7 linked regions of the Mus musculus genome follow. The main gene of each other region encodes a partner of the protein of the gene in region 7 in a complex. Links are inferred from orthologs where the notes say so. Each region holds a gene or a part of one and is shown on either strand. Other genes may lie near its edges.

Evidence for each region.
Region 1: Plrg1 (region 7) and Ctnnbl1 share a complex: the UniProt entries of both Homo sapiens proteins name them as parts of the PRP19-CDC5L splicing complex. The link is inferred for Mus musculus from reciprocal best matches to the Homo sapiens genes PLRG1 and CTNNBL1.
Region 2: Plrg1 (region 7) and Cwc22 share a complex: the UniProt entries of both Homo sapiens proteins name them as parts of the minor spliceosome. The link is inferred for Mus musculus from reciprocal best matches to the Homo sapiens genes PLRG1 and CWC22.
Region 3: Plrg1 (region 7) and Armc7 share a complex: the UniProt entries of both Homo sapiens proteins name them as parts of the minor spliceosome. The link is inferred for Mus musculus from reciprocal best matches to the Homo sapiens genes PLRG1 and ARMC7.
Region 4: Plrg1 (region 7) and Bcas2 share a complex: the UniProt entries of both Homo sapiens proteins name them as parts of the PRP19-CDC5L splicing complex. The link is inferred for Mus musculus from reciprocal best matches to the Homo sapiens genes PLRG1 and BCAS2.
Region 5: Plrg1 (region 7) and Crnkl1 share a complex: the UniProt entries of both Homo sapiens proteins name them as parts of the minor spliceosome. The link is inferred for Mus musculus from reciprocal best matches to the Homo sapiens genes PLRG1 and CRNKL1.
Region 6: Plrg1 (region 7) and Sf3b5 share a complex: the UniProt entries of both Homo sapiens proteins name them as parts of the minor spliceosome. The link is inferred for Mus musculus from reciprocal best matches to the Homo sapiens genes PLRG1 and SF3B5.

Annotation. Positions count from the first base shown.
Region 1 is NC_000068.7:157,817,401-157,820,900, reverse strand, and holds part of Ctnnbl1 (beta-catenin-like protein 1), read right to left. Parts: intron 3,147-3,500; coding exon 3,074-3,146; intron 2,851-3,073; coding exon 2,792-2,850; intron 1,448-2,791; coding exon 1,299-1,447; intron 1-1,298. UniProt on the Homo sapiens protein: Component of the PRP19-CDC5L complex that forms an integral part of the spliceosome and is required for activating pre-mRNA splicing.
Region 2 is NC_000068.7:77,915,357-77,918,856, forward strand, and holds part of Cwc22 (pre-mRNA-splicing factor CWC22 homolog), read right to left. Parts: intron 1,808-3,500; coding exon 1,700-1,807; intron 223-1,699; coding exon 141-222; intron 1-140. UniProt on the Homo sapiens protein: Required for pre-mRNA splicing as component of the spliceosome. As a component of the minor spliceosome, involved in the splicing of U12-type introns in pre-mRNAs. Promotes exon-junction complex (EJC) assembly.
Region 3 is NC_000077.6:115,474,415-115,478,466, reverse strand, and holds the start of Armc7 (armadillo repeat-containing protein 7), read right to left. Parts: upstream 2,801-4,052; 5' UTR 2,531-2,800; coding exon 2,440-2,530; intron 2,346-2,439; coding exon 2,202-2,345; intron 1-2,201. UniProt on the Homo sapiens protein: As a component of the minor spliceosome, involved in the splicing of U12-type introns in pre-mRNAs.
Region 4 is NC_000069.6:103,177,159-103,179,663, reverse strand, and holds the end of Bcas2 (pre-mRNA-splicing factor SPF27), read right to left. Parts: intron 2,326-2,505; coding exon 2,245-2,325; intron 1,310-2,244; coding exon 1,183-1,309; 3' UTR 501-1,182; downstream 1-500. UniProt on the Homo sapiens protein: Required for pre-mRNA splicing as component of the activated spliceosome. Component of the PRP19-CDC5L complex that forms an integral part of the spliceosome and is required for activating pre-mRNA splicing.
Region 5 is NC_000068.7:145,917,701-145,921,200, forward strand, and holds part of Crnkl1 (crooked neck-like protein 1), read right to left. Parts: intron 2,999-3,500; coding exon 2,897-2,998; intron 2,289-2,896; coding exon 2,040-2,288; intron 901-2,039; coding exon 724-900; 3' UTR 1-723. UniProt on the Homo sapiens protein: Involved in pre-mRNA splicing process. As a component of the minor spliceosome, involved in the splicing of U12-type introns in pre-mRNAs.
Region 6 is NC_000076.6:13,007,006-13,009,683, reverse strand, and holds Sf3b5 (splicing factor 3B subunit 5), read right to left. Parts: upstream 1,235-2,678; 5' UTR 1,062-1,234; coding exon 801-1,061; 3' UTR 501-800; downstream 1-500. UniProt on the Homo sapiens protein: Component of the 17S U2 SnRNP complex of the spliceosome, a large ribonucleoprotein complex that removes introns from transcribed pre-mRNAs.
Region 7 is NC_000069.6:83,069,038-83,072,537, reverse strand, and holds the end of Plrg1 (pleiotropic regulator 1), read right to left. Parts: coding exon 3,474-3,500; intron 2,846-3,473; coding exon 2,737-2,845; intron 1,942-2,736; coding exon 1,802-1,941; intron 1,349-1,801; coding exon 1,155-1,348; intron 428-1,154; coding exon 368-427; 3' UTR 247-367; downstream 1-246. UniProt on the Homo sapiens protein: Involved in pre-mRNA splicing as component of the spliceosome. Component of the PRP19-CDC5L complex that forms an integral part of the spliceosome and is required for activating pre-mRNA splicing.

The sequences.
Region 1 (3,500 bases), on a different chromosome or scaffold from region 7:
AAATCAAACAAACAAGTAACTCCCACCAAAATAATAATAAATGATGATATAATAATAGTAGTACTGACAATAAAACCAAGAAGACTCTATCTGCCCAAAGGTGGGCTACTCTTGGGTGACAGACTGGGGCATTTTAGCTTCTGGGAGGACTCGGCCTTGTTGGCAAGACACTTAACAAACACAGTAACTAAAAATATCCTAATAGAAAACAGAATGAGGGGGCTGGTGAGATGGCTCAGTGGGTAAGAGCACCCGACTGCTCTTCCGAAGGTCAGGAGTTCAAATCCCAGCAACCACATGGTGGCTCACAACCATCCGATCACGAGATCTGACTCCCTCTTCTGGAGTGTCTGAAGACAACTACATAGTGTACTTACATATAATAAATAAATAAATCTTTAAAAAAAAAAAAAAAAAAAAAAAAAAAAAAAAAAAAAAGAAAACAGAATGAACACCCACAGTCTAAATTATGCTTAATAAGTATACGTCCAATTTGTAAGGCACTTTCAGAGACATCTTTGTTCAGTTGTCACTGCATGTGACTAGAGGTTTTACGATGTTTGACCCCGGCTCAACTCCACGAATTCCATGATTAGAAAATTCCTAATGTGTTTGCAAGCAGCACCCAGAGCCTCTCAATTTCAAATGCTGTCCCTTAGTGGTACTCCATTCTGGTCACCTCCTCAGGAACTCTCTTTTCCTTCCCAGCCACATTTCTCAATAAAACACCCAAACAAGCCACTTCTCCACTTTATTTCCAACTTTAAGATTCTTTGGACTAACTGAGAAGCTGAAGCAGTGTTGTCTTTAGAGAGTAGAGCAGAACAAAAAAGATACATTAAAGGAAGTATAAGCCCACAGTTGTAGAAGCATCTTTCATATTTCATATTCCCTGTGCTTAGGCACACGGCACACACAGAATTCATTACTGAATGAATAAATATGAATATTTTGCTGTCAACGGCAGGAATATAGACAGAGAGATCTATGGAGCATACAGATTTTGAGACGAACAAGCCCAAAAGGTAATGCTTAGCTTTCTCCAAAACCAACACAATAAAAGAAACAAGGACATGATCCTCAGGGCAGTGGCTGCGTCACCAACTGACACCCGGCACACAAACGAGGCACAGCTTTATGTGCCAGCCCACCCTTCAGGAAAGCTCAGACACATCCCTAAATGAACACTGTCTGGATGAATGGGAAACTCAAGGGACTGAAGGACCACAGCTACGCATCCTAAAGTCAGGCTAGCAGTGCCGGGCAGACAGACAGGCACAGTGAGGACTGGGGCAAACCTGAGCATGAGGTTCATGAGCTGCAGCCCCTCGCCCTTCAGGAAGCGCTCTCGATTGGAGCTGAGCATTAAGCAGGAACAGAGCGCATCGAACAGGTTCTCCATCATTTCCTGCTCCTCAGCGGTGCTGGGGTTGTGTCTTTTAAATACCTGCCAAGGAGAGTAGAACGGAGCCATTAAAAAATGCGCACCCTACAGTTTCCAAAGCCCACCAAGGAAAGTGAACTCTACTAATGAAGCTCTCGCCAGTTTCCAGCTTAGAGAAACTGAGCTTTCTAGGTGTGGGCACTAAATAAAGATATACAAGTTCACATAAAAACACTGAGCCAAGCACTGGGCCGAGATTGACTGACAGCGTCAAGGCAGCAAGTCAGCCAAACAAAACAGCACACCTCAGGCCTTGGCCTCTGTGAAAATCAGAAAGAGACAAGGCCATACTGGACACACACAGTGAAACTGAGAGGGAACACGTCTGAAACCACAGCTCAGCTCCAAAACCAACTCTGGCAGAAAGCCCTACAGCCTTGTCCCTGCTCCGTCCAGCCCCACTTCACCCCCTTTCTACGGTACCCACAACCCAGAGTAGCCGATCCTATCTTAGGTGAAGAGGTGCTTCTTCACAGCGCGGCTGCTGCATTCCCCTCACTCAATAGCAGGGGCTCCGAGGCCCAGGCATGCATCTGGGCAGCTGTGCATGTCAGCGCTGAGCACGGGTTGGGAGAGCCCCTGAGCCAGCTGGGCAGGTGGCCCCATAGGGGCTGCAATCAGTGACTGCACAGCACTTCATGGGAACCGCAAACAGCTTCCCACCACAAAGCTCTATTTTTAGGGTGGAGGCCAAGTCACTCAGCGGCTGGCACGGCAGGAAAGCTGTATGCAAACTGCCGTCTCAGACACTCAACACTCTTCAGCCTGTATCCAAATGATCTATTTTCAGTGCTGTTTTGGAGTAACACAGATAAGGTTTTTGAGGAGGAACCCTGATGGCACTTCCAGACTGCCAGCAGGTAACATTTCAACTGGATTTACATTGCTTTCAACCAGCAAAAGGCACGTTCCACCTTCCCACTCCCGCCTGCAGTGCCACAACCATCCCTACTGTCCCGACCACCACGACCCTCGTGCCATGGAGCTGGAAACTGCTCTCCTTGCGCTCCCCTGGAACCTCAGTGAGCAGACAGACTCTTCTAGGGAAGGACCAAAGGGGAAGGAGCTGAACCGTGCTGGGTGCTAGAAAGGAACACAACTGGCTCATCCTGGCTGGGGACAGAGGAGAGCTCCCTACTTCTCCCTACTTTTGGATCAGCAGTTGGGAAGGGCTGTGCCAGTTTCACCATGACACTCGATCAGAAAGGGCCAGTGAGTAAGAAAAAAAGGTAAGCCCTGTGCTCCAGTGTGACCTCCAACCTGCCCTTGGTCCCCATGTGGCTGCCCCTTCCCATATTTCTACTTCTACCTCCCACTGAGAGCAGGCCCACAGGAACAGGTACTCACGGATAACTGCTGAAGAAGCACGTCAATGCCATCCAGCTCTCCCAGCAATTCCCTGTTTTCTAAAAGAAGGAAAATAAAGGGAGAAAAAAAAAAAGAAGCCAACTGTCAGATTTTACAGCCGTCTACCACTGATCCGTCAGCTAACAAAATCAATACAGCTTGACAGAGTACAAAAGCTGCACGGAGAGCAAGCAGAGAGCCCAGGCGATGCCAAAGGCAAGTTCACCGGATCTGAGACTGAGTGTGGCTCCCAGCCTGGCCTGTCTCTGTGAGGGCACTCACCGTCATTGTCCTGGAGGAGGATGGCCAGCACTTCACTACAGTACAGCTTGTTGGCATCGAAGGGCATCTTGGCCTGTGGGAAACAGAAACGAGAGAGCCATTAAGGAATCTTGCTCCCTTTCCAGGGCAAACTGTTTACCCACCAGATACGAGGAGGTTAAAGGAAAGGCAGGTTAGGGGGACCAGATACATGTTCTCAATGCTAAATAACAAAGGGACAGAGTAGCCCTACCCAGTGTGTGAATGTACCCTCCTCCACAGAGCATACCTTGTGCCCATATTTTAAGTCTAGAGACTGTGTATCCCCAAGGCAAGTAAGAGAAAGTTTTGAGCTTATAAGATTAAAACATATGAAACTCCAATTTACAAGTTACAACCAGAAAATGAGGCTGTAAATTAGCTGATACATGATCAGAGAAGTTGAAAA
Region 2 (3,500 bases), on a different chromosome or scaffold from region 7:
GCCTCTGAGCTTGGGTACAGGACAGGGTGAAGCAAGCACTGTGCAAATGCTGAAACGATGTTTAAGTCTGTATTCAGACTCTTAGTGCGATCACTGATCTTGCTTACCCATCTCTTATCCACTGAGCTACGGACTCTTACCTTGACTGAATGGCAAGATAGATTGTACGGCGAAACGAGACTAGGTTGATTTCTGTTTTGTCATGAATAGTTACTTTTTGCCCTGAAATAAATTAAACATAACAATTATAAAAATACAAGTTTATTCTATAATCAAATTCAATAATTACAATGTTGTTTGTAAAACGGTATCTGTAGGATTAATGGAGTCACTGTACATCTTCTGCCTTATCATTTTGTTGGATCAGAGTCCACAACACCACCAAAATAATTATGTTTGTAATAATTATGCCATCAACACAGGATGCAATCTACTAGGACACAGAACAAAGAACCCCAGGAGTCCTAAGCCTTGGTTTAGAATAAAATTACAAAACTTATATTTACATGAGTATTTATCATTTTATTGTTTTATTTTATGTTTGCCTCTCTATTGCAAACTCATTTAGACACCATAGAAGGGGTTTTCTGATGCTGATGCTTCATAGGATATTATTTCTAGATTCATAAACAATGTTGATTAAGTAGATGACCTGGATGGGCTGAAATTCAGTTTAACAGAACAATGGGTTCTGCCAGGTTGGCTCTGTCCAATGTGTATATGTGTCAAAATCTGTTAATTGATATGAGGAAACTTTTTTTATACTTAATTATTAGTATTTTAAACAAGAAATTCTAAAGGGAAATGTAATATATAGAAATTTAGGTGACTTATTAAAGATGACAGGCTTCAAAGGAAAAAATGGAGAAATACAATCTATTTTTTGTTGTTTTTGTTTTCATAAAATGTCACAGAACGGGGGCTTGAGAGATGGCTCAGTGGTTAAGAGCACTAACTGATCTTCCAGAGGTCCTGAGTTCAATTCCCAGAAACTACATGGTGATTCACAACCATCTGTAATGGGATGTGATGCCCTCTTCTGGTGTGTCTGAAGACAGCTACAGTGTATTCATATACATAAAATAAACAAAATCTTAAAAAACAAAAAAGTTAAAGAGCAACAATTTAACTGTAAAACATACTATATAGATATATAAAAATATTATACACACACACATATGTATGTATGTGTGTGTGTATCCTGGCTTATGTTGCTACTATTTTATGATACTCAACCAAAGTAAAGGCTGAGCTTGTTGTTCTGTGGAGTGATGTAATCAGAGCCGAAGAGGAAGAACGTGAATCTGTTTCTGTACAGATGTAGTTGTTGGCCTCCCTGCTTTATTTTGCCAAAATGAACAGCAAGTATCTAGTCATTCACATCTGTCACACACTTGCCAAGGTTACATAAATCACACAGCCTCTACATGAATGTACCCTTAGAACTGAAGGTCTAAAATGTCACATTAAAATTATGTTGTTAGGAAAAACTGAACGTCCTTGTTTAATACTTTAGGGACTGGTGTCCTGCTGGTGTGCAGTGTTCTGTCAGAGAAGGTGCTGAAAAGTGTCCCTTGTCTTCTCCCACAACACCCCAGGGCATCCTTCACAATCCTTCCTCGGTGAGCAGAGAGAGCCACTCTAGAGTGGTGCCTCAGAACTCACCTCATCCCAGAGTGTTTACAAAGCCATACTTTACCTCCTTCCTCGTCTTCTCCTTCCTCCTCCTCGTCTTCCTCCTCCTCATCTTCACTACTTCCAGCTCCTTGGTCTGTGTTTGAATCACTGTCTCCTTCGTCAAGGATTTCTACAAATCAAAGTCAATATAAGAAGAAACAATAATTAATGAACTAGATACATGTACCCCATCCTGAGGAGTGAATCTAATTTTAACTGTTTACCTACTAGCAACCATAATCACACAAGCCTCAGGCTATGGCAAGGAAACAATTAGAATGATCTGATGTTAACAAGTTGTGTCATTCTTTGCTAGGTGAAACGTGCTCATGGAAACAAGGGAACGCAAGAGGACAGAAGAGGCACATGATGTTTCTGAGTGGGTAAGAGCACCAGGAAAAAACTGGAGCTCACAGCTAGCATTTCAAAGTTTAAATGCTATCTTCAGAAAGAGGGCAGTCTATGATGAAAGCTAAAGCCAGCAGAATGCAGAGTTAAGAGTGGACAGAGCGATACGGGAGGGGAACCAGTATCTGTGTTCACTTAAAATAAGTAGAATGAAAATTATAAATTTAAACAGAACTTTTAAATTGTATATTACAGTCAATCAAAAGTCTTTTCATATGTAAAACTAAAACAAGTTTAAACATCATAAAACTGGTAAAGCCATCTTTATTATTTCCTAAATAAAGTGTTTATTTAGATCTAAATGAAGGCCCATGAAAGATGACAAAGAGCATCAACCACATCAAAAGTGTAATGCCAAAGTCGGCCACAATTCTATCTTGCAGTGTTGCTGTCAGTGCCCACCAGCATGGCATTTTCTCATTTATTATAATCACTCAAGTTTTAGTACAAAGTTTTAACTCACTTTTAGAAACTTCTAATTTCTTTATATTTTGCAGAGCAGTGTAAATCAGGAAGTCATATACTTAATGTTAGCGGAGAATATCATGCTGCAGGAACAATCATTTATTAAGACTACAGAGCTGCTATTTATACTTAGCCCTTATCTGACAAATCTTAAAACCATTTCTTGCAAATGCAACTCCAAGAAACACTCCAGTGTCTAGCTGATTATGCAATGAGCACAGACTTTGAAAAGAAGGAACTATTTAGTATTCAAAAGTAGGAAGGCAGGCACTCCTGCTGTTTTCCCAAATGCTGGCAAACCCAAGCCACCAGTACACCTGGGTCACTCAGAGGTGCTAATTACCAAAGCTGTGCTCACTTCCTGCTGGGGTCATTTTTTATGCCAGTTCCAGGGGAACATTTTACTAAAGATGAAGGTCAAATGAACTGTCTGATAGGTTACAGCAGCCTCTTTTCTCGCTCCTTTAAAAATCAACTTCCCAAAATTCGGTAGGCACTGGCAACTAGATTTCATCAGACTTAAAACAGAGTTTCAGAAAAAGTCTATGATTCCCTAGGGGAGCCTAAAACCTGTCAGACGGCCTGTGAGGTCAACACTATGTTCCTAATCATTCTAAGGTATCAGCTGCCCTCTCACTGAATTGCTATTTACAATAACAGGCAAGAGCAATGGGGTTAAAATTACTGCAATCTAAGCACAAATCAAGACACCAAAATGGACCAGGAATCAATGCTGCTTTCTGCCACACTTGCAGAAGAAAAAAAGCCCATTTAAATTATGAATGCTCTAGATGAAGATGTAAAATAGAAATTTTATTACATCTTGTACTTGGATGACAATGTAGCACTTATATTACAGAACGATGGCCAGTGTATGGCTCCCTACAGGACAAGGCTGGGGTAACTGCCTGAGCTTAAGATAAAGTGGCAACCTTTCACTTTTATTTGAA
Region 3 (4,052 bases), on a different chromosome or scaffold from region 7:
TTAAAATATCCCTAACACATCGGCCTCCCTCTAACACATCAGCCTCCCTCTAACACATCAGCTTCCCTCTAACACATCAGCTTCCCCTCTAACACATCAGCTTCCCTCTAACACATCAGCTTCCCCTCTAACACATCGGCCTCCCTCTAACACATCAGCTTCCCTCTAACACATCAGCTTCCCCTCTAACACATCAGCTTCCCTCTAACACATCAGCTTCCCCTCTAACACATCGGCCTCCCTCTAACACATCGGCCTCCCTCTAACACTTCAGCTTCCCCTCTAACACATCAGCCTCCCTCTAACACATCAGCCTCCCTCTAACACATCAGCTTCCCCTCTAACACATCAGCCTCCCCTCTAACACATCGGCCTCCCTCTAACACATCGGCCTCCCTCTAACACATCGGCCTCCCTCTAACACATCAGCTTCCCCTCTAACACATCAGCTTCCCCTCTAACACATCGGCCTCCCTCTAACACATCAGCCTCCCTCTAACACATCAGCTTCCCTCTAACACATCAGCTTCCCCTCTAACACATCGGCCTCCCTCTAACACATCAGCTTCCCCTCTAACACATCAGCTTCCCTCTAACACATCGGCCTCCCTCTAACACATCGGCCTCCCTCTAACACATCAGCTTCCCCTCTAACACATCAGCTTCCCTCTAACACATCGGCTTCCCTCTAACACATCGGCCTCCCTCTAACACATCGGCCTCCCTCTAACACATCAGCTTCCCCTCTAACACATCAGCTTCCCTCTAACACATCGGCCTCCCTCTAACACATCAGCTTCCCTCTAACACATCAGCTTCCCTCTAACAGCTTCCTGCTTAGCTGCTTTGTCTACATCGCATATCCAAGATGGCTGAAATGGAAGTAGCGTAAGTAGCGTGACACACCTCCTATGGCTCCATCTGAGTTCCTGTTTATCTCTACTTTGCTTGTTTTATTCGCCACCTAGCTCCCCTTCCAGAATACAATCCCCAACCTGTTCACCATCTCCTCAGAACCTGGGCCAGTACCTTCCTTATAGGGTGCCCAATAATGACTATCTATCATGGGGCAGAGGAGATGGCTTAGTAGGTAAAAGAGCTTGCCACACAATTCTGATGACCTGAATTCGGTTCCAGGGACCTACATAAGAAAACCAGATGCAGTGTCGAGCATCTGGAACCCCAGCACTCTCTCCCCATTAGCTGGAGGCTCACGGCCCAGCTATGGAGTGCACTGCCCTACTCTGAAGGCACAGAGATCTTCCCTTAGCAACTGGAAGAGGAGAACACAACAACAACGACTACCTTAGTTTTTAGAGACGACATCTTACCACATAGCCCTAGATGGTCCAGAACTCAGTACTCACGCTAGGCTGGCCTGGAACTCGGAAAGATCTACCTACCTCTGTCTTCCCAGTACTGGGGATGAAAGGCATGTACCACTGTACTCGGGGAGAACTGACTCTTGACAAATTTCATGCATACAGCCTGGTGCACATGCATACTCACACTCATCCACACACACATGCAAACACACACCTACACAGCAAATGTAAAAGAGTCTACCTTGAATAATTCAAACGGCCTTACAATAACCCAACTATAGGAGTTCTAAGCTACCTTTGCACCTCTTGACAGTAAACAATACAAGGGCAAGCTCCAGCCGGGCAGTGGTGGCGCACACCTTTAATCCCAGCATTTGGGAGGCAGAGAGGCAGGCAGATTTCTGAGTTCAAGGCCAGCCTGGTCTACAGAGTGAGTTCCAGAATAGCCAGGGCTACACAGAGAAATCCTGTCTCAAAAAAATCAAAATCAAGCAAACAAACAAACAAAAAACTAAACTTCTTTCAAAGAGGTTTCACCCCATTTCCTCACTTATTATCTCTTTTCTAAGAGGAAGAAAGACACGACTTGTTTGGAATGAGCTGTGACCCCGATAATGTGTGGAGGAGGAGAAGGTAGGTGGTCCACACACGGCAGCTCTGCCCTAGATGAGATCCCATCCCAAACACTAGTTTGTTTAGTGACAGTGTCTTACTCTGAATCCCAGGCTGGCCCCCAAGTCGCAACCATCCTCCTGCTTCAGCCTCCCGTAATGCTAGTTTTATAGGCGAGTGGCATGCCTGACTCTCAAGTCGCTCTAGTCTATAACTTGGGGGGAGGCGCGCGGGCACGGGGGTTGGGGGCAGCCTAACTCTTACCAATAGCAAACTTGATTAGGGTTTCATTCTCTTCCGACAGAGAATCAAGGAATAAGTCCAGGACTTGTAGTTGCCGTAGGTACTGGTAGTTGCCCGGGTCATAAGCGAAGTTGGCGAGGTTGGCGAGGACTTGCTCCTTGGCATCTGCAATGGGAAGCAGCCCTGGGGTCGGACCTGTGCGGCGGCGGCTGCCGTCAGAACCCTCCTGGGTCCCTCGTGCCCACGCTACACCTCTTACCTTGGCTCTCGGTTTCCTGGAACTCTGTGACCAGCGCCTGCAAGTAGCCTAGCCGCCCGACGTGGGGGTCTATCTTGGGTTTCTGTGCCATGGCTGGGGCGGCGGAGTTGGGAGCTCCGGTAGAGGCCACAAGGCCTGGATCCTGACCTGTCCCGGCGGCGACAGAGCGGCAGCAAACCCAGTCTTGTCCTGAGATCCGCGTCTGCAGCTGGGGATGAGCTGTGGGGGTGGCCAGGGGTCTCAGGATCCTGTCTGAGCCGGATCTGAAAACCAAAATTCAACCCGGGCGAGACGCTGTGGCTTTTCGGAACTGAAGGCAGGCACGCCCCCTTACCACACTCCCTGCACCGCTTCCTGGTTCAGGGCGGAAGTCTCTCTAGCCCCGCCCCAGGAAACGGAGTGAGCGGGACCAGGACGGGATTGGGCGTGGTTACTGGGCGCCTCCTGGGCTTCCCTCCGGATTTCTAGAGCTGGAGGCTTTAACCCTCCACTGCGCAGCCGCCGCAGCGGGGATGCGTCGAAGGAGAGAGGAAGGGAGAGGGGAGGGAAAGAGGAGAAAAGGAGAGAGAGAATGGTGGATGGATTGACAGCCGGGCAGACGGATCTTCAGGCCATCTAGACATGATAGTAGTTTAATCCCAGAACACGGAGTTTAAGGACGGTTTAGTCTACAAGGCAATCCAGAGCTACATGGCAAGACCCTGGTAACAAAACAGAACATCCATCAAACCCCAAACACAATCTTAGGGTCACAAGGAGCGTCAGGGAGGGGCCCAGCTTTGCCGTGCTGTGGTGGAGGTGGAGGATGGAGGCAGTAAGGGTTTTTAGGGCAAGGGTCAGGGGTCATGTACTATGTTTGGTACCAGGGACCTGAATCACAGCAGAATGGTTTGTGTACTTCACCTTTCCCTGGCCCCCACCTCTGGGGTTTAAGTTCCAGTGATCAATCCATGCCCAACATCAACCAAGAGCAAGAGTTTTAGTCTTAGTTTGGATGCTTGAGAACCAAGGTTGCTCCGTGAGAACTCTGTGCCCTTTAGGTTTTATAAGAAGCAGGCTAGGCAGACTTCTTACATCTCAGCTCAAGATGGCCAAGCGTCTGACTAGTCAGAACATCAAAGACCTGGGGACCTGGAGCCTTTGAGATTCCAGAACAAATACTTTGCAGACTCCCCTCAAAATTTTCCAGGGATGGTCCAAAGCAGATCCTGGCTACAAAAGAGTAGACTTTGCTTCCATCTTGTCTCCAAGCCCCAGGCTCCAAAGAACTGGGATTACAGCACACCTGGGCATGGGTGGGGCTGGAGATGGAAGTGAAGGTTTGATGTACGTGACTAAACTACATTTGCACCCTCATTTCTTCGTTGCTTATTGCCCTCAGATTAATGCCATTATTACCAACGGGCAAGTGTGATGAAAATTTCCTAGCTGGAGGATCACAGATTCTATTTTTCCTGGACGTGGGCCTGTTAGCCAGCCCCAACTCTGTTTTCTGTTAGAATGAAAAATAGGTCCCTGGCATTTGCCCTTCAGAGTAGAAACTTCCTTGGGGGGTGGGGGTGGGGTCAAGCTCAGTTCTGAGTTGCGATCCGGAAAGCAGTAGGGGACATTAG
Region 4 (2,505 bases), about 20 Mb from region 7:
CCTTCATGGCCTCCAAGGAGTAAGAAGGCCCGAACCAGCCCAGCCGTCCCAGCAGGGCAGAGAGGAAGACAGAGGCCTCTGCTGCTGGAGTCCCTGTCCCAACTCAGCCCAGCCCCCAACACTGAGCATCTCCCACTACAGCTGGCTTTTGCTACTTTGTGGGTTCTTCTTTCTCCCACCTTTTATCCTTCTGGCCTTCACCGCTATCACTAGTTAGGAAAGAAGGAAAGGTGAGTGAGAAAGAGCGTGCGAGAGACTTGAATCTAATTTTTCTTCTTGCTTCTTCTTTGAACACGACTACTCACAAACCACAACCAACACTGCCTCTTGGGGCCTTAGACTTTATATCCCTGTGAAAAGTTTCCATTATCCCAAATGTCACCCAATTGCAGAAACTACCTGCAGCTGGCAAACCATGCCTCTACTAGAGCACGAGGCACATCAGTTGCTTCAAAGCAGCCCCATATACCCACACCTGGGATTAAAATGAAAACATATTCTTTTTTTTTTTAAGATTTATTTATTTATTATATGTAAGTACACTGTAGCTGTCTTCAGACACTCCAGAAGAGGGAATCAGATCTCATTACGGGTGGTTGTGAGCCACTATGTGGTTGCTGGGATTTGAACTCCGGACCTTCGGAAGAGCAGTCGGGTGCTCTTACCCGCTGAGCCATCTCACCAGCCCAAAACATATTCTTATATTTCTGCATTTTTAAAAAAGAATCCAAAATTCCACAATTCTCACTACACCTATTTCTATCATAGATCCCTAGAAGGGAGCCTCATTCTTTTGAATACCATCAATAAAGTTCACTATAGCCACACATAAAAATGCTTAGAACTGTAACTTTATTCAACAAAAAACACAAATTCAAGGTTTCCAGCTTCCAGAACATGTTGGATGCCTTAAAAATAAAGGAGCTTCATTACAAAATTTGAAGCCTTAAAAAAAAAATTCTGCTACAAAATATGTCAAAATTATTCTAAAGTCATACTCATTCTGAAAACCAGGTTTTTATAGCATAAAAACAGCAACATGTTGACAACTTTATTTTGCTAAGACACTCACACAGAAGCAATACAACAGTTTACATAGTCCATGGTCTCTAACCATGTAACCACCACAGTCGCTCCGAGAAAGTCCCCGCTGAGTCTGCGGAGCCCACGTCGCCTGAGTCATTAGAAGTCTTGGCGGATGTTTTCCTTGTTGGCCTCCCCGTGCTGCTGCTTGATCTGATAGATCTCGTTCTCCAGCTGGACAATCGTCCGCTCAATCTCATAGTTCTTACTCACCAGCGACACCCAGCTAGGAAAGAGAGTCAAAGGAAAAAGAGAGAAGAGGGAAAAATGAGCGGATGTAAAATTTCTTGCACAGTTTATTTTAAACATATGTAGTTTCACTATGGGCACTAACATTTTTAACTTTCCATTAAAAAACAACGTTATGGGAAAGCAGGGGAAGGGTACACAGGGGCTCTCTGCATTACTTAAGTTACCCAACAATCGTCTCATGATAGTTACCTTAAGAAATAAGCAGAAACAAGAGACTCAGGGAGACAGAAGAGACAGGAAAACAGCATAAGATTAAAAGAACACAGGCAGAGGTTTACACGATGGACAAAATTCTGGAATTGACAAAACAAACTACCACTACCACCAAACCCCATAGCCTTAGCCACTATTTCCTGTAACTAAATCTCCAGGACAAATGTAAAGAGCACTAGCGTGGAGAGAGCTGTGAAAGGAGCCGGCATGGCATCTCAAGATGGAGAGCATGGTGAGAAGATGCTGTGGGCAACGGAGAGACCGGGAAGACAGAAATCCGTAAGCAAGCATCACCACACTATGCATTTAACCTTTTTCTTTAAAGAGACGGTGTTACTCTGTAGCCAAGGCTAGACTTAAAGTCACAATCTTTCTTCCTTAGTTCCAACATGTGAGGACTAAGGCATTTATGGGCACACACAGCCCATACAGTTAGGGATTTCTATAAATCTGTGTGTGCAGAAGGCTATGCATTAACAGGGGCAAACAAACTAAGGCACAAATTAGGCAAAGTCTACAAGATTGCCGTCCTGGAGCTGGGGCTGTGATGCCAGCACTGAGCAGTAAGTCAGCCCTTTCTGCGGTCAGTTACTCTGTATGCCTCCCCTTCCTCAGCACACAGCAGACATGTGAATGGCCCTTCTGTGACTCCCACGGCAGTCCATGCACACATGAAACACGGAGTCACACACTCACTTTGACTCCATTTCTCTCAGCTTAGATCCAGCTGTAAGCTGCATGTTCTTTCGCTGCCAGTTCAAATCTTGAATATGTTTCCTGTAAAAAGTTATTTACAACAAAAATCAACAGAACAATAGTACAATAGAGTATCTTTATACTCTTTAGTGCTCACAAACACAACTACAGCTAATTCTAGGAATTAACTTTATCTTAATTGTTTTTAATTACAAATTTCATAAAATTTATTCATTGTGGGAGGGAGGAAACAAACAAACC
Region 5 (3,500 bases), on a different chromosome or scaffold from region 7:
TTTCTAAACAAGCTACTACAAAACTTAACTAGTTTGAGAGAAAAACTGAAGCCAAACTAAAATGTTCCTGACAAAGACTTGGGGTCAAAAAATACAGTCACTATAAATCTGTTCAGATATTCAGAGAGAAAACTAGCCCAAGTCCATTTAATTCTATGAGAAGTAGACACATGATGCTAAAAGGCAGTAGGGGCAGGGGAAGGTGTGCTGTTGGAACAAGATTGACATCAGCATACTCCTTTTCTAATGGAATCATCAAAATGAGGTGCCACCATACTACTGCTTGTTTGAGAAAACTGAAAATCAATGGAAACGTACAGCCACCACATGGAGGTGTTAGAGTTGGACTCCAGTTTTGTGGTTTTAGAGACATGAAATCTAAAAGTTTCAGATTCATGAACACCATCATGATAAACCTGTGTCTATTCCTGGAGAATGGACCTTGAACACTGAGTTTAGTCTGCAGTTCGACCCAACGTATGTGCTAAGCACATGAACTCCATCTAACAAAGACAATAGGAGCAAATGCTAGAAATGCTCGGACTCAAGTAACAAAACTTAGAAAAAAATTCTTTTACTTGCAGTTTCTCACCCATAGTTAAACCCAAGAGCATTTTAAAAAATAATTCAAAGATGCCAAACAACTCCTTACTGAGTAAATACATAAAAACATTTAGGAGTCAAAGTTCTAAACTGTTCATTTATAAAAAGCAATTATAACATTTAAAAAGATGAGGATTCACTCTCATCAATGTCCTTATCTGGATCCTGTTCGGCAGCTTCTCTTTCCTGTTGCTGTTTCTTCCACAGCTTGGCCATGGCCAGGAGCTTGAGGTTAGGCTGGTTGGCAGCATCCTCTGGGAAGATGTAGTCATAGTATTCTTCCCACCCGGCGTCAGACTGCAGAAATAAGTACATGAGGTCAAAGGTGAGCAGACAGAAGCTGGAGCCTGCTTCATTCAGAAGGCAGAAGAATGAAGACTGTGTCTGGGGAACCTAGAGTCTCAATTCAACCATGGTGCTGTGGAAAGTAACATCAGATCCTGCCGTAGATGGAACAAAGGGCTGAGCCTAAAGGAGTGACTGAGCCACCGGGCAGATGAGGTTACTGCAGCACTACACTGGCTCAATGAGAATGAAGGACCAAGTGGGAGGAAGCTAAACATCTAAGCACAGCGGCTCCACGGGCAGTGCCTCCACTGCCTAAGACACTCAGTGCCTCCACAAACCTTGCAGTCGTACATTTACAATGTAAAAACGTGTGTTTGAGGGGCTAGAGGGGTGGCTCAGCGCTGAGAGCACCTGTTGCTCTTACAGAGGACTCAGGTTAGGTTTCTGGCACCTGCATGGTGGCTCCCAACCACCCAGTAGCTTCACTTCTAAGGGGTCCAATATCACTTTCTGATCTCCAAGGACACCAGGAATGCATGTGGTACACATATACCCATGCATGCAAAGCATTCAAAATAATTTTTTTTAATTTGAGTTTTTACTTAATATTTAGTAGCAGAGGCCACATAGTGTGTAGTATTTGGACTCCTAGCTCTTCTCAGTTCCAACTGAGCATGGCTATTATTTCTAAATATTATCTTAAAATGGAGGCTTTCCTCATCTCCTACTTTCCACCCCTCAGGTCCAGGCTTTTAAAAACATGCACTAGATCATCTTCAAGCCAAGTCTCTCAAGTCCACCCTTATGAGATGCTAGCATTCTAGACATGTGTAAAGGTCTTCAATGATTCCCACCAAACTTGCTCTACCCTACAAAGCCTCAGGATTGGTTTCCCTCTATAAGGTGAAGCTCCCCCACCCCACCCCCATTCAACAAACAGCAGCTTCATATAGTTCCTAGACTCCACCTTCACTCAGAAGGCTCTGCCCCTGCCCTGTCCTAGTAGCTGGACTACAAGGGGCTCCTTATCCAGGTTGCCTGCATCTGCTTTGAAAAATTCCAATAGTACTCCAAAGCACAGATTGCAAAGTCAGATGCATTTCTACTCCTTTGACATGGGGGGAACAACCCCGGTACTGGGCCCTTACCCCATCGTCGGCCTGGACCTTTCTTCTCTTCTTGACCTTTTCTGGCATGAGTTTGTCTACTCTCTCCTTGTCTGATACTGTGCCAAATTCATCTTCAAAACTTCTCCAGGATTCCAGCAACATAAGCCTCTCTTCTTTTTCTTCACAGTTTCTCATGGTTTTGTTAGCTTCTTCATAAATCTGTCTGCATTTAGCCACACTTCCTTCTTTCCCAGACGATAACTCAAACTGAGCAAAACTGATCCATACCTTACCAAAAAAAAAAAAAAAAACAGAACAAAATTAACCATGTCAGTCACCCAGAAGAAACAAACAGAGAACATAAAGTTAGTTTCTCCAGATCATGATGTATCTACTGATAATGAATCACAGATTGATACATTGAGCATACGCCTCAGTGTCAGTGGAGAAGCAGTCTTCTGCTTTTAGATGTTAGATGTAGTTTTTTTTTTTTTTTTAAGATTTACTTATTTATTTTATGCATATGAGCACACTATAAGCTGTCTTCAGACACACCAGAAGAGGGCATCAGATCTCATTACAGATGGCTGTGAACCACCATGTGGTTCCTGGGAATTGAACTCAGGACCGTTGGAAGAGCAGTCAGTGCTCTTAACCACTGAGCCATCTCTCCAGCCCCAACATAGTTTTAAAGTTATAGAAAAAACTTCTTTAACTCTGTGATGCCCAAGAGATGCATGGCAACATAAACAATGATCTGGCAGGTCTAAGCTTAGTATTTGTAAGTCCTCTGGGAACAACAGACTCTAAGAACAAAGTCATTTAAAATAGTTTGTCTACAAACATCAAAACTGCTGTACAAACAAAATGAGAGACTATTTAAAAAGTAAGGATACCTTGACATGCTGTGTTCGCTGAAGCAATTGTCGGTAAAGGTTTCGTGTTCTTTCAGTTTCTTCCTGCTCAATCTCAAAATCAATATATGATTTCCAAAGTACCTAAGAAAAATAATGAATCAATCTTAGCATTAAGAAAGCCACATGCCCCTGTAGTTCAGCCATCCTGATCTATAACCAGGAATAAAGACTTTCACTTAACAATTAGATTGCATGTGGATAGATGGTAATACTAGCATTTAGAAGCTTGCCAAAATGTAAGTAGAATTTTACACAGGAAAAATGGCTTTGGATTCAGGTTTATATTTTCTTTTTAAATGCTTAATATAACCAAGACTTGTCAAGAATTCCAGGTACTTTCATTGATGCTGCCCATGTAGCTAACTTTTAGGAAGAAGATTGGCCAGATTAGCCACTGTGCGTTCTTACCCCATACCAAATTGGTATTAAGCTAAAAGCATTAAAGATTTATTTAATGTATACAAGTACTCTATCTGCAGGTACACCTAGATGCCAGAAGAGGGCATCATATCACATGGATGTTTGCATGCAACCATGTGGTTGTTGGGAATTGAACTCAGGACCCCTGGAAGATCAGCTAAGC
Region 6 (2,678 bases), on a different chromosome or scaffold from region 7:
TCTTGATTCCTTAAAATCTGTTCTCAAATGACATCTCAGTAAAGTAGCATTGTAAGCATGGTTTTTAAAGTTGTAAACTCTTCAAGCTGGCATAATGTATGCCCTCAAACCTTTGGAAAATGCTCTGGTGAAAAGGGAAGAGGGGTGGGGGGAATGGGGCGCTGAGCAGGATGGGGACGTGATACCACTTGTTTGCCAGTTTATCATTTCTGAAGACACAAAGGGTAATCATCAAGAAAAAGGGGTAAGGGGTAGCGCATAAAGGGAAGGGTAGGAAAGGGATATGGGCAATCTCCGCGCTTCAAGGTTTCTTTGGGACCAGACACACTGTACGCGTGAAGACTATTGAGGTGGGATAATATCATAAAAGTGTGTGTGACGACTTAAGGACTTGCCCTGTGCTTCTGCCCCCATTTCCTATTTATACTCTCACAAAACCTTGATCCACAGAACCCTCTCCTAATAACCTCCCAAAGAACACAGCAATCCATACCAAAGAATAGAGCAAACCCTAAACTTTATATATATATGGTTTTTTAAAAAGGCAAGAAGACATCAACTATCGAAAAGCAGACTCGAAATGCGCATCACTCTCGTGCAGTCTTCTCCCTCGCTTGCCGATGCTGGGATCACTCCTTCTGCACAGTTCACAAGGAGCGGACCCGGACAGTCTCTCCATGACTTGTTCCGAATCCTCCACAGGTACGCAGGTCAGGCGACACAGCCAACACGGAATGGTCGAGATGCAGGAGCAAGGAGGCTCGCAGCCGGCACACGGGGAAGACTGGGCAGCGCTCACCTCAGTTCTCCTCGGGCTTGTCCGCGGGCGGCCCGCTGGGCTGCAGCATTTTCTCCATCAGGTTGAACCGCACGCGGGCTTTGCTCTCGTTCTCGGCAATGGCGAAGTAGTTGAGGAGGTCGAAGTGGCCCATGTAGGAGCAGTAGGAGTCGCGGTGCTGGTTCACCAGCCATTCCCACTTGGTGGTGTCGGCGTGGCCCGTGCCGATGTACTTGGACTGCAGATGCTCCAGCTGGCTGTGGATGGTGTACCGGTCCGTCATCGCGCCGCTCTGCTCGTAGGCTCCGAGGTCAGGACACAGACGAGAAGCTGCCGCTCGCGGCGTTCAAGTGAGAGACGCTGCCGCTGCCGGTGCCGCCGCCGCCACGCAAAACCTCAGTTCGTGCAGGCGCGGGAGAAAGACGCCACCGAGACGCAGGAGTAGACAGTCTTTTCCTAGGCGGAAGCGGAAGTGCCGTCTGTCGCGGGATTGGAGTTGCCTAGGAAACACTGGGCCGTCTCCTCACGGAGCCCGCCTACTTCGAAGAGTGTTGCATGATGGTCCGCTTAGTGGCTCTCGGGTGATCACGTTCTAGTCTGAGCGTTGCATTCTGGAACAAGTAGTCCAAAGAGTTTGTTTTAGGGTTTTGTTTTGTTTGTTTTGTTTTTGCCTGGCTGCTGTAGGACGATGGCAAACGGCCTCTGAGAGTTATCCCACGGCTCTGGGCTACTAAGAAGGGGAAATCCAAGAGGGTTTCAACTACAAGCAACCAGGAAAATTAACTCTTGTACCTAGAAGCTAACGTGGCAGCATGGTTCCCCCGCGGTCCCAGCTTTGTCTCTTAGAATTTGGGCACTGGGAAAAGTATTTTTGGTGATCAGTGTCAGCCCCAGTAGTCTCACTAATGGCTCCCACAACGAGCTCCAGGCTCCCGTTTCTCAACCCATTGAGGGGTTGTTTGCTCTAGGTCACTCAAAAGCTATTCCTTGAAGTCAGATGTGGTTCAAGACTAGATAGATAGATAGATAGATAGATAGATAGATAGATAGATAGATAGATAGATAGATAGATAGATAGATAGATAGATAGAAAGAACACCTCTCTTTCTAGTCACCTGTGTTTTTCTGCTGATTACTGCCTTACGTTGGGGGTTGTGCACTTTCTCACGTTACAAACAACTCAGAAAAGATAATTGTACTTCTTTTATGGTATCCCTTAAGGATACATGTATAGCCTGATGTAGATTGTACTCTCAAAAAACCATTTTAGGAATGGGGTAAGAGCAGTCACAGCCAAAGAGAATGGACAATGACAGACAATTTGAAAATACAGGAGTTTGGGGGTACTTTTGTTTACTTGGTGGGGGGAGGATCTGGCCCTGAGCTCACAGCAATCCTCCTGCCTTTGCCTCCTGAATGCTGGGATTAGAGGTGAGTTCCGCTCCATCCAATATTAATTCTTCTGTTTAAATTTTGTCATAATAAGCATCATGCCAGGTGGTGGTGGCACACACCTTTAATTCCACCACTTGGGAGGCAGAGGCAGGCAGATCTCTGAGTTCAGGGGCAGCCTGGTCTACAGAGCTAGTTTCAGGACAGCCAGGGCTACAAGGAGAAACTCTGTCTCAAAAAAAAATAAAACCAACCAACACCAAGACTTAGACAACATAATACACATCTTATTCCTAAAATATAGAGACTATACGGCAATACCTGTGGATATGCCATCCAGCCATACTATACCTGTCTCTTATTATTTATTTATTGAGACAGGGACTCAAATTCTCTGCACCTGCTTCAGACTTTGAAGTGATCTATCAGAGGCTTAGTCACCTTGTCAGGCTTCATTTTAACCCTTTAATTGTTTACTGTTTCACTGTCGTTTCTTTTGGTTTGCAGG
Region 7 (3,500 bases):
TCAGGGATCTGACAACTTCTTCTGGCCTTCATCGGCACCAGACACACATGTTGTACACAAATGTACATGCAGGCAAAACACACCTATACATGTAAAATAAAAACCAAAACTAAAACAAACAAACAAACAAAAAAAACCCAGTCAAAATAGTGTTAGGAACAACAATCCTCAACATGCCTGAATTCTTTATATTTACCGTTTACTTCTAAAACTATAAACTGTTTATTTCAGAAATAAAACACAGGTGAGGGACATGGGAGCAGTTTATTGTAAAATACAAAGCAGCAATGTTTTCTGCAAGTGAGCTTTCATGAAAGACCGGATATCCTCATCAACACCAAGCACGAACAGGACAGCCATGAAGACACTAAAATCGCTTTCTCTTGATAATTTCTGGTTTCCAGCTGACTGGGTGAGTTTCTTCTGTCTAAAATCAGAACAGTAAACAAAGTGTGATTTTATTAGTTTGTTTCCTTTCAATGAAAAGATCTGTCTCTGCTAAATCATAGTACTTGCTTGGCAGGACGTGCTGAGTGGCTCTTGAAAAATTTTAGAAACAGCTGACAAACTTCTGGCATTATCCAAGTTTGACCAGGGATACATGGGTTCGGTTGGATTTCCATTTAGCTATTACAGCAACCCCAGCGCTCTACCTCTACCCTCCTTCCCTCAGCAGTCTCCTGTTTGCCACGATTAATGTATCATTTCCTTCCCAGGAACTGTACTGAGGCAGAACTGTACTTAAAACGTAATGCTTTATCACTGATGTGTCTGCATCAATGAAACCACACAGAAGCCCTGAGCAGGTCAGATCACTATCCAGAGGATGAAACTGATGGTACTATAGTGAGTCTGTTTCTTTTTGTACTCAAATGAGCAGTCCTTGTCAAATTGACATGCAATTCTTTTACTTTAAAATGCATGTGAAAGCTGGGTGTGCTGGCTCATGCCCAAAATCCCAGCATCGGAGAAGCAGAGGCAGGAAGACAGTTTCAAGTTTAAAATCAACTTGAGCTACAAAGTGAGTTCCAGGCCAGCCAGAGGTACCATGTGATACCTTGTCTCTAAATATAAAATATAAAATTAAATTAAACTAAAAAGGAAGGAAGATAGGAAGACAGACAGACAGACAGAGATGGACACTAAGAACTTACCGCAGTCTCATCCTCTCTGTAAACTTTAATGGTTTTATCAGCTTCAGCCGTTAGTAACCGACTTTCTGACCGATCGAAAGCACAAGCAAATATTCCTGACTCACTGTCCAAAGACCCAGGCTGTACAGCTGCATGGACGCGCTGAAAATTATAGCCAGTTCTCCAGTCCCAAAGGTGCATGGTGCCATTGTCAGCTGCAAGGGAAACACACAGCTCTACTTCTATCCCCTCAACAGCTCAGATGACCCAGGAGCTGAACATTACACCAGCAACACACACACACACACACACACACACACACACACACACACACACTCACACACACACACTATCTCTTTCCCTCCCTCCCTCCCTCTCTCTCTAATTCCCTCTAAGTCTCTAATTTATAGACACCATAACATTTAAAATCCAACCAAACATCAGGCAGTTCCTAGCGTAAATCCCTACCTTCATCACATGGGAATGCAAAGATGTCTAAACTATGCAACATGCTGCATGGAACACCACTGAGCACGACGGCAGGCACATTACAAACAGGCACATACACCCTAGTAGGTGTGTCACTACAACAGTGTGATGCTTTAGATACTAACTCACTCACATCAACAGAAGGGCACACTCAACACACCATAGAAACCTTGTGTTACCTCCAGACACAAGCACTCCATCAGCATTGACCGCCAGCGTGTTAATGATTGCATTGTGACCAGAGAGATTTTGAATGAAGCCTCCATCGGGGAATTTCCACTGCTTTATGTTATCTGGAGAACCAGACGCAAATGTGTAACTAGAACAAAGATTGACAGGAATTAATGGGAAAGTACACTGTATCAAAGAAAACTCGCAGCTTTGAAAAAGCTCTGTGTGCTCACTGCTCCAGACAGCCTCAGTAAAATGTAACTTCACCACAGTACAAACTCATCACTATCCTCGCTCCAAGTTCCACCAGCCTTGTCCAGCTGCTGAGATGTACTACTTTAGATCCCAGAGCAGTGTTTTGTTTTCTTTAGTGTGTTACACACTAATTAGCCCAACAAATGTGCACACACACAGGGCAAAAAAAATCTTGAAAGGGAAGGAAAGAGAGGGATGACAAGAGAAAAGGAAGGAAAGGAAGGGAAGGGGACAAGAAAGGGAAGGCGCAGGGAGCAGTGGGGGAGGGTTGGGGGATGTGTGTGGGATGAGCTGAGTCAGGAGTGGCCTGCCTTCTCTGGGAACCGCAGTGCTGATGTCTCTCCCTCCATTTCCTGCACACTTACTTCTCCCTTAGGAATCTAACTCTGCTCTGTCTCTGACAGGACACCATATGTGAAACAATCTGGACAGGTCAAAGTGGGTCCAGTACCCTGTATGTCCAGACACGACTCCCGCCTACTCTGACATTCAGCTTTAACCACAACTTGGCCTTATTTGTCACTCTGTAGAGGGGCTATGGCCTTCATTCCACAGAGCACGAGGCAACAGCAGCAGATGGGAACTGAAAGGCCGTCCTAAGCAGCACAGGCAGAGGTACAGCAGGCCCCCCTGGCCTCAGCGTCACTGAGACGCGGAGAAAGGCAAGCTATCAGCACAGCACACTTACAGTAGCGGATGTAAGACCACAGCCCTCACTGATTTCTTATGGTTCGTCAGTGTCACTCGTGTCTTTCCAGCCACTAGATCCCATAATCGTATTGTGGTATCGTGACTTCCTGTAGTGAAAAGACAGAGACCGGACAGAATCCACAAGTTAAAACCCATTAAACACAATGTACTTGTCTGTGTGTGTGTGTATGTGTGTGTGTGTGTGTGTGTACACTAAATGAAAGTCCTATCACTGTGAATCATTTCCTCAAAATCCTAAAACTGTAGTTATTCTATATTTAGTTCTTTTTAACTTTTTGCCAGAGGCGGTAGAGAGTGGCTAAGTATAAAGAGCAAATAAAAACAAATATGTAATTTTAAACTCCAATGGCAGGGAAGGGGAAAAAATGAATCTTTTTATTTTAAAATCTGTAGTTAGCAAAACAAACCAACTGAAAGAATGACTTTCCAGTCACAGTTAAGATCCAATGTCATTCAAGTAAGATTCATACTAGAATGATAGGTTACAATGCCTAACCTTTTTATGTAATGATACATAAAAAACACAAGATAAAAATATAAACAAACAAACAAAAAACCCTAGAAAACACCTTGCAATCCTAAATTTCAAATGCCCATGATTAAAATCCAAAGAGAAACTAGAACGCGAGTCGGTCGGAGGTGGAGGTGCTTGCGGCGGCTGCAGAATGGCCGGCCGTGCCTCTGGTACGGCTCAGGGGGAGCAGCAGATCGTACCTGTAATGATCTGTGGCTCTGCAGCCT